Linked DNA regions of Oreochromis niloticus. The main gene of each other region encodes a partner of the protein of the gene in region 2 in a complex. Links are inferred from orthologs where the notes say so. Each region holds a gene or a part of one and is shown on either strand. Other genes may lie near its edges.

What was found.
Region 1: exosc9 (region 2) and exosc5 share a complex: the UniProt entries of both Homo sapiens proteins name them as parts of the RNA exosome core complex. The link is inferred for Oreochromis niloticus from reciprocal best matches to the Homo sapiens genes EXOSC9 and EXOSC5.

Annotation. Positions count from the first base shown.
Region 1 is NC_031979.2:33,449,042-33,456,290, reverse strand, and holds the start of exosc5 (exosome complex component RRP46), read right to left. Parts: upstream 3,081-7,249; 5' UTR 3,063-3,080; coding exon 2,927-3,062; intron 544-2,926; coding exon 430-543; intron 214-429; coding exon 92-213; intron 1-91. Other genes in the region: bckdha (2-oxoisovalerate dehydrogenase subunit alpha, mitochondrial), read left to right, coding at 4,783-4,896, 6,505-6,681, 6,789-6,875. UniProt on the Homo sapiens protein: Non-catalytic component of the RNA exosome complex which has 3'->5' exoribonuclease activity and participates in a multitude of cellular RNA processing and degradation events.
Region 2 is NC_031971.2:37,044,705-37,051,835, reverse strand, and holds the start of exosc9 (exosome complex component RRP45), read left to right. Parts: upstream 1-4,094; 5' UTR 4,095-4,188; coding exon 4,189-4,254; intron 4,255-4,462; coding exon 4,463-4,557; intron 4,558-4,646; coding exon 4,647-4,766; intron 4,767-5,526; coding exon 5,527-5,629; intron 5,630-5,718; coding exon 5,719-5,856; intron 5,857-5,994; coding exon 5,995-6,077; intron 6,078-6,967; coding exon 6,968-7,100; intron 7,101-7,131. UniProt on the Homo sapiens protein: Non-catalytic component of the RNA exosome complex which has 3'->5' exoribonuclease activity and participates in a multitude of cellular RNA processing and degradation events.

The DNA.
Region 1 (7,249 bases), on a different chromosome or scaffold from region 2:
AAGAACACTCACAGGAAACATCTCAATTTTAGAACCCTACTTGCAGATTGGATATAAACCCCAAAGCTTGCAGAGTTTTACAGAAGGATACTGAACCATCATCATGCAGGACCTGAAGAATGAGAGTGAGCGAGGAGCGTGGATGGAGCGTCAGGAGCAGAGAAGCCTCACAGGTTTCTCGCACACACTGCTCTTGTGATCGTTCCCTTACACCTACAAAACAAACAAATCGAGGTATAAAAAAACTTAATGTGAGCAGAAAGCTCACGTACCCCACCCTGTGGTGAGCTGTGGTATAGCAGCTTTTTCCACAGCAGAAACCTCTGAAACATTCTTGTAGATATCAGGATGCAAAAAGTCTATTTCCCTAAAATAAAATAAGCAACGCTGCATAATGAAATTTTTTACCCCTTAAAAAGAAAAACTCACTTGGCAACCCCACTTTGGGCTGTACCAACACCTCCAGGGTCGCCCGGTCATAGATCTCCTTGCTGACTTTGACCTCAGCTGGTCCGTACACTCCAGCCATCACACTCGTGTCTCCTTCAAACAAGAACAAAAAGGAGCATTTTTCAATAAATAACACTGGAGCATTAATGATGTCTTTCCCCACATAAACAGACATCTAGGAGGGGAAAAGCAGTAACATCAAATCATTGAAAGCAGTACGACACCCAGTAAATATGCTCACAGCACATGTAGTTTTTAAAGAGGGGACTCAAACGCAGACACCCTATTTAGAACAAGCTTTTAATAAGAGAACTAAAGCTGATGTCACAAAGTCTCATCATGTAAATTTCACATTTATTCTTAAGACATTTTTTAAAGACACTGAATCAGCCCATCCATCCATTTCTGCTTATCATTATCAGCTATCATAGGGCGAGAGGCGGGGTACACAGGGTGCTGGGCTCATCTCTGAATCATTCTGGAGTAATAATCTGAATATTAAAGGTAAAAGTATAAACACAAATTACAGAAGGATACTGAGTCATCCCCATGCCCATGCCCTGAACCTTGGTCTTATTGTCCACATAGGTGTTACATTCTGTGACAGACATTATATATGTTTAAAATACATCAAATGCAGTAAGTATACACATTTCATATAAACATAGTCTGTAACTTTCTTATTTTCTTTAGCCCAAATAATTAAACATTTCAGTTACATAAAACATGTACATTTTGATTTGATGTACTGTATAGCCTATATAATAAATAGGCATTTGGCCATTAAGTATAAAATACATAGAGGTACAAGACATGAGATGGTTCAGTTAGAAGTTCAGTTCGGTTAGTTTCACACTCTTTTTAAAATTAGAAATAATCAAATTGTTACAGGCTTTAATTTACACAAATTGCCAGAAGTCTGCACTGTCATGAAAAAGTTTTCACCACAATTTTTCATGATTTATTAGGTTAACCCTCTGATGTCCAGGATATTATTGGCCATTTTTGACTACTTACTAATTTTACCTTTACATTTCACCTTTAAAAACTATTTGCCTTGTCTTGTTTGGTATCATTCTTTTCAGCACAATCTCACATGTCTGAATTTACATCCCCAAAAAAATCTGAGCAGGAAAAAGGTTTTACTGTAAAAAACAAAAAACAAAACAAATAAAACGCCAAAATGTTTCAGAATTGCAAATATAAATTGTAAATTTTAAAAACGCCTGCACAAATCTTGCAAAGAATAAAGATACATGCAACTATTTACCTAATAATGCAGCCAATGCCTCAGACATTTTTGTACAACTACTAAAACTATAATTACAGAACAGGTGTCACAATAAGATGCCACACAAATTATTTGTGCCACTCCAAAAGAAAGTTTCTGTCCACCACAAGAAAGAGGAGCACATCACAGACCTGAAACCTGCAGGTCTAACAACAGTATGCGTATCACTGTTTTTCACCTGGAGACAGCGTTTACGCTGCAATCTGCCTTTGATGGCTTTTGGCAGCAACTGTGACAATCACTAGTGTCCTCATTGTTTTGACACATAAAAACAAAACAAAGAACTACACAACACACTAACTTTACATTAACTACACACTCCAAACACGTTAAATGTCACAAATCTCTCACATCCAATGACTGTAGAATTGCTCTCCCCTTTTCCCCAAAACACAAATGTCACATGTTGCCAGATAATTTTTTTTGATTGGTCAATATGGTACATTTTTCCACCAATAGGAAAGTGGTGGGTTTTTTTCGCGCTGTTATTAGAAAATGCAGTTTTTTAACTTTTCTTGGTACATAGTTTGAACTTTCAACAAAAATGAAAATTAAATGGAGACTGCATCTTGTTGCTATGTCATCTTAAATTGGTCATGTGACTTGGAAGCCTCCAGAGAAGTGTTGAAATCTGAAATGTCCATGGTGTTGATTCAAAATGTGCACAGTAGATCCGCCCCTGGAGGGCGGTTAACACTATGCAATAAATGTATTTTATTTTATTAATTAGTTGTAGCTAGGCTCAAAGTTAATGCTACCTTATTTTAATAAACAACATTGTCATATACAAAGGTAAGATGGCACATGCCACCCCATGCCACCCCATACCACCACAATAGATGCGCTCCTGATTCTCATCGTTACATTATTTTGACAAATAGTTCAATATTTCTTATATTACATTTGCATAATCACATCGAAGCATGTTAAAACCCCGAGATATAAATATGTATAAATAAGATTACCAGTTTTGCGAAAAGGTAAATATTATGCCTGATTAACAATACCCCCCCAGCATGTTTTACTTTTATTCTTATTCATAAAGGTAAAGAAAGTCATGTCAGTAACTGAAGTGGCAGGTTAATTTCCAGAGATGTTCCCTAACCTTTCTCCGTCTTTTAAGTCCAGTTTAGCGGTAAGAGGCAAATAAACGCCCAGATAAATAGTTTCTAAAATTAGTGTTACCTTGGACGAAGGAAGCAGAGCCATCAGGTCGAGACAGCAAGCTCTGTTCACAACCAAACTCTCTCAAAGAAACAGTCAGGGAGCCGCAGACCTCCATCGTGGAGAAAGCAGATTTGTCGCAGGCGGATGGCGTCATCTGTTTTCCCTGTAGTTTACGCTCCTTACTGATGACATCAGAATGAGAAAGAAATGTTAGCTTTAATAAATAGTTAATTCACAAGAAATGTGGATCTGTAATATATATCTATGACAACGAAGAAAAAAATAATATTTTTTCATCATAATTCACGTTTTCCTGACGCAATCTGAAGCCCTACTTTGCCTTAATACGTTTAATGTATTTTGAAAGTACCGGAAGTGCAGCATCCGTATAATAGTGTAAACTGTGAGTTTAACAATGTGTAGTTACTCACAATGACCGCCAGATGGCAGGCAGCAGCTGCATTTAAACACAACGGTGTCAACCTATCATTTTCTTCTCTTTTTTTTTTTTCATTATTCGTCATAACCACCCACCGGAATTTTATCTACATCAGTTTATTTACTGCTTTCCACAGGTGAGCTTTCACTGGCATGATGTGAATTGCAATCACCATGTTGCAGCTCGCGCTATCACCACTAGATGGCGATAAATACTCGTGGCTGCAAAAATTGATTTATCTGCAGTCTGCATTTACAACATCAGTTAGCTCAGAACTGAAGCGAAGACATTTTCAGATTTTGACAAGTAGTTGAAATACTTTATTTTAATATGTCAACGCCTCTACCTGCGATATTACTTGGTTTATCATCGGGACTGGAAGTAATAATATTCTTTACTGTGCATGCCACTGACGTTGCTTTTGCTATTAATGCACTACTGCACTGTGACCACAAGATGGCAGCAGAGTAGGGTTTAATTTTTGGTAGGGTTGAAAGGACGTAGAAATCGTTCTTTTATGACTGTATTTAAGAACACTTGTGTTCATCAGTTTTTCCATACTGCTTACGGCTCTATCCTCCCTTCTCTCTTTTTCTTTCTTTCCTATTGCATATCTGCCCCTGACTCTCTAACTTAGGTATAACTGACATCTCAGGTAGAGTTCGTTAGAGGAACGCTGTTTTATTACAAACTGTTTCAGGCATGTTACAGCTGATCTGTATGTCCAAAAAGACACATGCGCAATTTTTCATTCATTTTTTTTTTTTTACTTTTACTTCTTTTTGTAAGATGTATTATATATCACATTGTAATAACTGTCGTTTGTTGTTAATGTGACTGCGTTGCTGTGTCTGAGCAGGCAATGTGTCTTAAAATAGGCAATACTGATTTTGATAAGTTAAAATCGCCCCAAAAAGGCCACCGGAAAACGACCAAGGCGCTTCGTGACGCATATAACATAGTGACAGTATTTTAATTAACAGGTCAGTATCACACAATGGACTTTCATCAGGTTAATTCCCCGACTGGGAGGGGGAGCTTTAATTCATAAAACTGGCACTCTGCCTTTCTGGAAAACCCACGCATTATTTATTTATTTATTTATTTATTTATTATTGCTATTCTAACACAAAAGAGTGTTAAATCTCGACATCTTTAATCGCTCATTTCTTCAACTTATGAAATATGTAAAAACGGACAACTAAACTTAAGGTTTTATTTTGAAGGCCTGGCCGGATGTTGAGGATACTGTAGCCGGCTTTAATGGTGCAGTCAGTTTGCGGCTATCGGCCTGTAAACTGTGGATGTAAACAGGAAGGACAGCGAGCGGTGGTTATTAGCAGTTCCGTTGGCCAGATTTTTACATATCCACCACAGTGTAACTTCTCTAAACCGGTGTGCAGCGGCGGTTAAATCAAACAACTACTGAGTGCCGATGGCGGCTGTGAGCAGCATGAGCAAAATGTATGGGCTCTGTTTCCACGCTGTCCGCCAGACAGCAGGACTGAAGGCATCTCGACTGCTGCAGCGCAGAGGCTTCAGGGTCACTGTAAGTGAAAACTCCGATGCAGTGTTTGGATAGGGCGATGAATAAATTATGGGAAAAGTCGCTCCTGCGGAGTCTGGACTGGAGATAACGCTGCCATTGAGGGGCCGGGAAACATTTTTTATTTCACCATTCATTAACCGCACAGTTTTCTTTAAGCAAACAGTATTATTATAGTTCTTCATGATTGGGCCAAGTGTCCTCTTTTTTGGAATTCGAAATATTGTCACCCTATCTTTTAATAAGTTTTGGGGTTATGTCTTGTTTGCGCAAAGATTCTGGTTAGCTACGGAGCTGCTAGCATGGCTAACAACCTTGCTGAAATTCTATACCGATTCTCCAATGTATCAGTGAAAAGTCAAACTAACTCTCACATATTTAGTGAATACATGTTTGATCTTTAATAAACAACTTTAGTTGCAATAAATACTAATTTTAATTTTTGTTGTTTTGACTCTCACACTTGACTAGTTAGCCAACCGGCTAAAGGCTTAGCTAGCTTCTTTTCCATTGGTCGAACCAAGGGGCGTGAAGGAGGAAATAGAATAGAATAGAATTCAACTTTATTGTCATTGCACATGTCACAGGTACAGGGCAACGAAATGCAGTTTGCATCCAAACTGCATTAAGCTTAAATCCGATGTCCTCGAATGCATCATTTTTTCAAAACAACTTTATTTAATAACTGTTGCTGCTCTATGGCCTTCGCTGCTATTTTATTTCCTTCGATCGCTCCAGCACTTAAATCTGTATGTAACTCTTTAAAAATAATCTAATTTATTTATTTATAGGTCCATCAATAATCATTTGGAGTGTCTAAAATCTGTATGGGAGGGAGATTTGGAAATGGTTGTTATAGTGGAGCAATGGAACTGCACTGTAAGAAGTACATACTTATTCATGATTTATAAGAGTATTGTATTGTCTTCAGCTTTCTGAAGTTAAGCTTTCTAAAATGTCTAAAGATTCAACGAGTGTTATTGTAGTTAACTAAAACAAAACTAAAAGCTTAAACTAGATGTTAAAAAGGTTACCTAAAATTAGAAACTAGCCTTTTGAAAAAAATAAAACTAAAACTAATAATCAATCAATGAAACTTAATTTTTAATTCCATTTTTATGCAGTTTATTAATTCAGTTCAAAGTGCTGGTGGACAAACCCGTGGGGGGGGAAAAGAGCAAAATACAACGAAGCAACACAAATACAAAAAATATTATTAACAAAATAAATTCAGGTAAGTTGTTTGTGCACACCTCTCATAAGGTCCTACCACAGAATCTCAGTCAGGTTAAAGGTCACTGGGACGTTGGAACACCTTTTTTTCAGCTATCCTGCTGTAGATTTGCTGCTCTGCTTAGTATTATCCAGTTGCATGACCCAGTGGTTGTCAGACACATGGCCTCACATTTGACTCTAGAATACTTTGGTATACAGAAGAGTTCACGGCTGTGTGGCTGCAAAAAAAGCTCAAATCACCCCTCCACCACCGTGCTTGACAGTTTGTATGAGTTTTGTGACCTGATATGCAGTGTTTTCTTTTCCTAGAGCCTTTTTTTTGCCACAGCCACAATGAGATTCTTAATAAATAATGATTGTAATCAATCTTTTCAGGTTGTTCAGCTGCAGCAGCCCTTTGACTCATCGCTGGAAAAGCCCCAGTTTCCAGGAGCCTCAGCCGAGTTTGTGGATCAGCTCGAGTTCATCCAGCCCAATGTCATTTCTGGGATCCCAGTGTACCGGGTGATGGACAGGCAGGGAAATATCATCAACCCCTCTCAAGACCCTCAGGTACAATCAGCCTGCCTGTGCTCCTGGTTCCCAAATGTGCCCCTAAGACCTCTGCAGTCTGTTGAGCCAAAGTTAATTTGTCAATTGTGTGTTTCTCTCCAACACAGCTCTCCAAAGAGACAGTTTTGAACTTTTATCAGAAGATGACCCTGCTGAACACAATGGACCGCATTCTTTATGAGTCTCAAAGACAGGTATGTTTCCTCCTGCATCTCCTGGCTCAACCTGATTATTTAAAACACAACACCAGCAGTTTTTGAACTTTAAAAATTGGTGTCTCAAAGGGTATTTTCTTTATCCATTCATTCATTCATTCATTTCCGCCTATCCACTGTTTTAGGGCGAGAGGCAGGGTACACCCTGGACAGGTCGCCAGTCTGCTGCAGGACTCCTTTATATTAACTATAATTTAAAATTAAAAATGAATACATAAAAATGAGGAGTTCTGGAGGACACAGGACTAGGGAGTGTTTTTGACTGAAAGGCCAACTGTTGCTGATTACTGAACGAAATCCAGCGAGAGCCCTTCAGTGATCCTGTGACACAAGCAGGTAGTTTTATTTCCTCC
Region 2 (7,131 bases):
TCTTATTTTTCGCAGCACACGCACAGTATGAATACGCATTTGAAACCTAAACAGTGGCGATTTAGCATGCTGAACATCAGCTTCAATAACCTCCCATTGATCAGCCCACACCCGCTCGCTCTTGTTGCGAGCAGCAGGAAATGAAAAGCATCACTGGAGACAGCGCAGCGGCATGCTTTCCCTTAATTCCTAATTAAGTTTAATTCCCAAACTGGTGTTGTTCTGTTTGCTAACAACAGAGTGCAGGAGGATCAAAAGGATTGTGATGAACATAAGGGAGAGATGATGAAAGAGCAGCATAGTGAAAAAGCTGTCTTATCTTTAAAGGCATTGTGCTGTTGCTCATGTGTTTGCATCTTTGGACTGAAAGCGAAGCTCAGTTTGAAAGAGAGCTCGACATTTAAAAATCAGGTAAGTTTGATGGGGTGGAACCATTCTGTTTTATCACGGTTCCATCTTCCCCTGTTGTGACAGCCATGTGGAGATGCTAATGCCTGGTTGAAGTGCGCTGGTCTGGTTAAAGGTGTGATGTTTAATGAGCGTTGAGTTAACAGGTAAACTGAAAATATAGCAGGATAAATTAATTTACTTTCCTTCACGAACCAGTGATGAGCAACAGATCAGGCTTACGGTAAAAATAATAAAACTGAATAGGAATGCACCAAAGATATGGCCCAGATCCTCACTCAAAAAGCTGGATGGGATATCCGCAACAAACAGCCCATAAACAGCCCAGTACTATGTCCTGTATTTACGCTGAAGAGCTAATTTAGACTGGGGGAAGTTAACAGCAAAGGTTCAGCAGTCTGGAGGTATTTCACACCTTCAACATCAACTGATTTTCTTCACATGTTTGAATATGTTTTTTACTCAACTATAAACTGTGGTGCCAGGATTAAAAAGCTTAGCAAAGACTCATTTGTTTGTTTACTATATCTCTGTACATTTGTTCAGAGAGACATTATATTTGGTAGAAGCTAGGAGGACACTGGTTCCACTGTTGTGACTTGTTGTGAAACACTTGATGCACCATTTCAAAGGTCTCAGACAGAAAGGAAATGGAAAACTACCACTACAAATACATTAAAAAAACCAAACATTGTTTGTCTTGTGCCTGCTGTCATGCATTATTCTTCTCACTGAAATAAACAGCGTAAATTTCTAAACTAAATGATCAACTATTATTAGCAAATTATAAAATCTTGTATGAATGTGCCTAATTTTATTTTAAAACGTCAGTATATCAGTGTTAAGTTGAGCCTGATGTTGCCTTAGCACCGAGAGAATGATTCCTAGTTTCTTCCTCACAATGACAAATACAGCTTAATCAAATACTGGCATTAGATCAACACTATCTGCAGACTTGTGAGGTCTTGGAACTGGAAAAATTTGGATTGGAGCATCACTAGGTGTAAGCCACTTCCCCATTGGCTTCCCTTTTCAAACCAAGGAGCTACACCCATCTTTTATTCTGTCTATGGTTTGGGGATTTAGGCTTCAGGTGTCCCAACTTGCCCTGTCATGCTTAATATACAAAAATGCGGAGCTGACACCTCTAATACCCTGCAAGGACACATCGACCATATCTTACCTGGTGTCAGTCTATCAGTTATGCAGGTAACTCCCCCCTTTAGCAAACAGATTTATTAGTGGACATAATCTAGTACTCAACAGCTGTCATTATCTTTAACCCACAGTCAAGCTTCAGTCCTCCTGCTGAAGTGTGCAGGGGCTACATGCCTTATCAGCATCTGGTTGACGCTAAACAGCGCCAATGTGGCATTTTTCTATTTATAACCATTGTCATAACATAAGTTTACACTGTAGGAATAAAAAAAAAAACTAAAAAATAAAAGGTCACAGGCGCTAACATGGCTGCCACCAAACACAGTAATGTCCAGGCTCTTTCAGAGAGCAGCTCTGGCTGCAGGAGCTGCTCGGCTAGCTGATGTTAGCGCGCCAGTCACAAACGGCAAACGTTAGCACAAGATAAGCTCAGCCAGAAATAAACTAACGGGCTCGTACCTGGAGCCCGCTAATTCAACACACACTGGTGTTTAAATTGGAAGATGCTAATGATTAATTTGAAACCAAAAGGCCGCCGAATATCGCATTCTTCGGTTGCAGAAATGAATGAACAGCAGCGGTTAGCTGGCTACATTAGCAGTGATGTCGCACAGGGAGGATGGAGAGAGATTGAATGAGCGCAAACAAACCTTTGCGCCTTCTGGATATCACGGAGAAAAGAAAAAAAAACTCCGTCGATGAAAACTGCTTCTCCACGCAAAAACACGAGAAGAGTTTTGTGGGGTGAGCCCGCTGAATACTACTGGGATACAGTCGAGGAGAGCACGGTTATCTGCTGCAGGAGATGGACCGTGGATGACAGCTCGGCCCGGATAACGGTGCGCCGCTGAGGACAGGTTCCTTTGCGACTGAGCATGCGCACCAGGGGTAGTTGGAAGCGTAAAGGGTGCATTCGGGCACCGCAGAAATTAAGAGCATAGCGGTATTCATAAGTATGAAATGACTGAAAAGGAACACTCAACATTAAGCACATAACTAAACGAATCTTGAATCTTGAATATTTAAAAAAAAAAAAGTAAATGAATTAATATATAAATAAAACAGCTTACAAATTACACAAATGAAAAAGCTTAATAACATAGAAAATTTAGAGAAAAAAGTAAAATAAACAAGTTCAGAGCTCTTTCTTGTCTGTCAGGGTAAAGGTCAAGCTGAAAGATGATGTGAAGGAGGAGTCTCCATGAACTATGATTTGCAGATTAACCTGTGATCTGAGAGTAGGGAGGAGTGAGAAGAGAGTCTGAAAGGGTGGAAGTATTCTCTGGAGTGAAGAGGAATGAAAGTCCGGAAAACCAAGACTAGAACAGGGAGGCAGACCTAATAGTGAAGACAGAAGAAACCAAAGCTAGTGAAGGCAGATTAGTTTAAATATAACATATAACATAATTTCCTCTTGAATGAATAAAGTATTTTAATTCCTGGAGTCAACCATGCAAAGCAACACACGAAGAAGAAAGTGCAGGTAGAGGGGATTTAGACATGTGTTAGTGATGATTTGTGGTAGAAAGACAGTAGCAAGAATGAAAGTGAAGGCTTTCATGATGGTATGAGACCTGCTGTGAAGGTGGTCCTGATAAAAAGACAGGAAGCTGAGCTGGAGGTGGAGTTAAACATGCTAAAATTTTCATTGTGAGCCTCCAGGATGGACAAGATTAGAAATGAGTACATCAGAGGAAGAAGTCAGTTTTGGAGCAGTTTGGAGATAAAGCTAAAGAGGCAAAGCTGGGATAGTTTGGACTTGTGCAGAGGAGGGTGTTGAAGATGGAGCTGCCAGGCATGAGGAAAAGAGGACTCTCACAGAGGAGGTTCATGGATGTAGTGAAGGCGGACATGTAGAGGGTTAGTGTGTCAGAGGTGGATGCTAAGGACAAGATGAGATGAAAGCAGGAGGTCTGCTGTGCTGAAAAGACAATTTGAAGGAGATATATGAAAGCTTACATGCAGCATATACTCATATAATATTACACATAATATTGACATTTATTTCTAGTTTGTGAGGCCGCAAATCTACTAATATTGAGCTTAATTCCATTCACAAAAGCCTAGAAAGGACTGAGAATTTTACCTTCTTTAAGTGAAACCTTTCTATCAAATATATTTCAGTGTAACTGAGTGACAAAACATGAATTTTATTATTATTTTTAATGCATAACATAAAACAACATTTAAAGAATGGAATATCCTCATACTAAATACATTTTGCTTTGTGATGTGTTTTCCAAAATTTCCAAATTCCTCCAAAGGAATAAAAAGCAGCTACTGAGTGCTATAAAGGACGAGCTTTCAATATGTCACTAAAGGCATCAAGCCATCACACCGCGCTGGGATTTCAAAATAAAAGACCCTTATCAATAAATTCTACGCCCAACATATCAAAAATAATGAAATACGACACAAATAAAGATTCTGAATGAATTTAAAGGAGTGTAATAAAATACTTATTAATTTGAGATACGCCAATTATTTAAAAAAATATATATTCTAGCCGCTTTTACGTTCACGTGTCTTATGCACTTCCGGGTTAGAGTTAAAAAAACATCGATGGCGGCCACATGCTTGTTGGAACGGTGAACCAGATCAGTATATTATAACAAAAACAGAATGAAGGACACACCGCTGTCCAACTGCGAGCGGGACTTCCTGCTTAAAGCCATCGAAGAGAAAAAGGTGGGTGAGATAATCAGCACGCGCTGTCGTGTGTTTGTGTGTGCGCGCGCGCAGCCTGAGGATGTACATTAGGACATGCATCGGTGTCCTATCCTGGCATCATTGCTCTGTTTTAGAGAGGATTGATGTGTATTATAGTGCCTTACCATAGCACACCTGCAGGCTTTCATCCGTACTCACGTGTCCTGTTTCTGTTCTCTTCCTTCAGCGCCTGGATGGACGGCAGACCTATGACTACAGGAAGATTAAGATCAGCTTTGGGACTGACTATGGGTGCTGCTTTGTGGATCTGGGACAAACCAGGTTAAGTTGCAGCCACATGTTTGCAATCGTGTGTCAAACTGAGCATCTGTGTACACTGAGCTCTGTATTCACTGTACGGCGCCCCGCAGGGTCATGGCGCAGGTGTCGTGCGAGCTGGTGGCTCCTAAAGAAAACCGACCGAATGAAGGAATCATGTTCTTCAACATCGAGCTGTCCCCGATGGCCTCACCGGGATTTGAGCAGGGAAGGTGAGGACGAACCTCACTCTTTGAATTCAGCTCATTCATTTATGTTCACTGGAATATAAAGAAATAAGCATGGTGTGTTTTTTATGGAGTGTAGGGGACATTGTTCCTGAATTTAATGAGATCTGGTGACTGGAAAGCATCCATAATAAGCTTCCATGTTCTGAGGCCGTGGTTCTCAGTTGGATGAGGGTGGAGTATCGACTGGGTTGGGGATGTATGCAGCGGGACACTGATAAAAGGATTGGTGGCACTTTTGTTTTGGTGAGGAGAAAGGTTACCATGAAACGATAGCTGTCCATCTATGTCACCACGAGCTGTGGTTAGTGACTGAAATTGTGGATGCGAGCGACAGACATGAGCTCCTCCAAAGGCAGTGTGTGCTCAGTCGTAGAGACAGGGTGTGGAGCTTGTTCTTTCAGGAGGCACACAGAGTACAGCTGCTAACATAAGGAACTAGCTGAGGTGGCTTGGGCATCTGATCTATGGTGCTCCTGCTCCTGGCTTCTAAGTGAGGTAATTAAGGGTTGATCTACTGTAGCTACCTTAGCTTACCAACAATTCTGATTTACATGGAAATAATATGTAAGAGGACCTCTGTGTTTGGAAAATGATAGCTGGTGAATTATAGATGACCTCTGCAGTTATTGTAAATTACAATAAGTTCCCGAGTAGTGGTCCTCCCCTGGGGCTGACTGGTTCATTTAGACAGACTGCTGGAGCAGAGAGTGTAAATCATCTGTGGGGTTTTCTGTGTTTCCAGACAGTCTGAGCTGTCAGTGAAGCTAAACAGACAGCTGGAGAGATGCCTGAGAAACTCCAAGTGCATCGATACGGAGTCTCTGTGTGTGGTGTCTGGAGAAAAGGTAATGCACACACACACACACGACAGACAGAAAGAAGCTTCATGTATTGATGATGATGATGGTGGTGGTGCTTGCTTGTGGGTTTCTAGGTGTGGCAGATCAGGGTGGATGTTCACACACTGAATAATGATGGAAACCTGATGGATGCCGCCAGCATTGCCGCCATCACTGCTCTGTGCCACTTCAGGCGCCCTGACGTCAGCACCCAGGGACAGGAAGTCACAGTGGTGAGTCAGCAGCACCACAGCAGGTGGTGTCTGAGCTTCCCTGGACCTGCTGGGAGAAAAGTGATGATGTTATTGTTTTCATGAGAATTCTGCTTTATGTTAGCTGTATTTTTTTTTTTTTTTAATTTCTGTCTTCAGTACAGTCCAGAGGAGAGAGACCCTATTCCTCTGAGTATCTACCACATGCCCATCAGCGTCAGCTTCGCCTTCTTCCAACAAGGGTAAAAGATTGCTTCTCACAAGATTTTTTTCTCCTGTTTATCAAAATTTTAATGTCATGTTTACAGGTGCAGCAGGTTTTAGTTAACTCAGTATATTCAGTAGTGTTTATAGAGAGTCACTTCAGACCTCCACCAGAACAAAACTCGTGGAGGGGCAGCCCTCATCAGCCTGCCACGACCAGCTGGGGAGTGAGGGGAAAGCAGGAGACAGAGAGAAGAGAAAAGTATTAGTGGTATACACTCACTGGACACATTGTTAGGTACACCTGTTCAGCAGCTTACTAAGCAGCTCAGTGCATTGAGGCATGAAGACAGTGCCGTGGTTGCTGGTGTTACACGGGCCGGGGTATTTCAGAAACTGTTGATCTTCTGGGACTTTTCCCACATGGAAAAACATCACCTGGTCTGACAGCACCTTGATTTCTGCTGTGACATTTGCATGATAGCGCCTGAATTTGGGGTGAACGATATGAAAGCATGAGTCCACCCTGCCTGTGATGATGTGATAGTGTGAGGGACTTTTTTGGGGGAAACTCTGGATTCCTCCTTGTTTCAACTCCACAGCCTGCCTGTGGGTTGTTGCTCACCATCTTTATGATCAGTGCACACATGATAAAACTCAGATCATCTCAACCTGATACTAACGAGGTGTACCTAATAAATTTGCCAGTGAGAGTGAATATAAATTTGACTTTAGCGGCACAACTGAGTGAGGGTTCGGGGTCACCTGATCCAGCATTTAACTGTAGTAACATGCAGGCGATCAGGCGAGCAACTTAACTGAACTCGGGCTGTTTTCTTAAACAGTCCACTTATTTTCTGCGGACCTTCTGAGTACCTGCAGGTGACCACTTGTTTGAACGTTAACATTCCTCATTGTGTCCTTGCAGTACTTACCTGCTGGTGGACCCGTGTGAGCGGGAGGAGCGAGTGATGGATGGCCTGTTGGTAATCGCCATGAACAAACACAGGGAGATCTGCTCCATCCAGTCCAGCGGAGGAATCATGCTCCTTAAAGAGCAGGTGAGCTCCTTAAAAGCTCTTTGTTACTGTG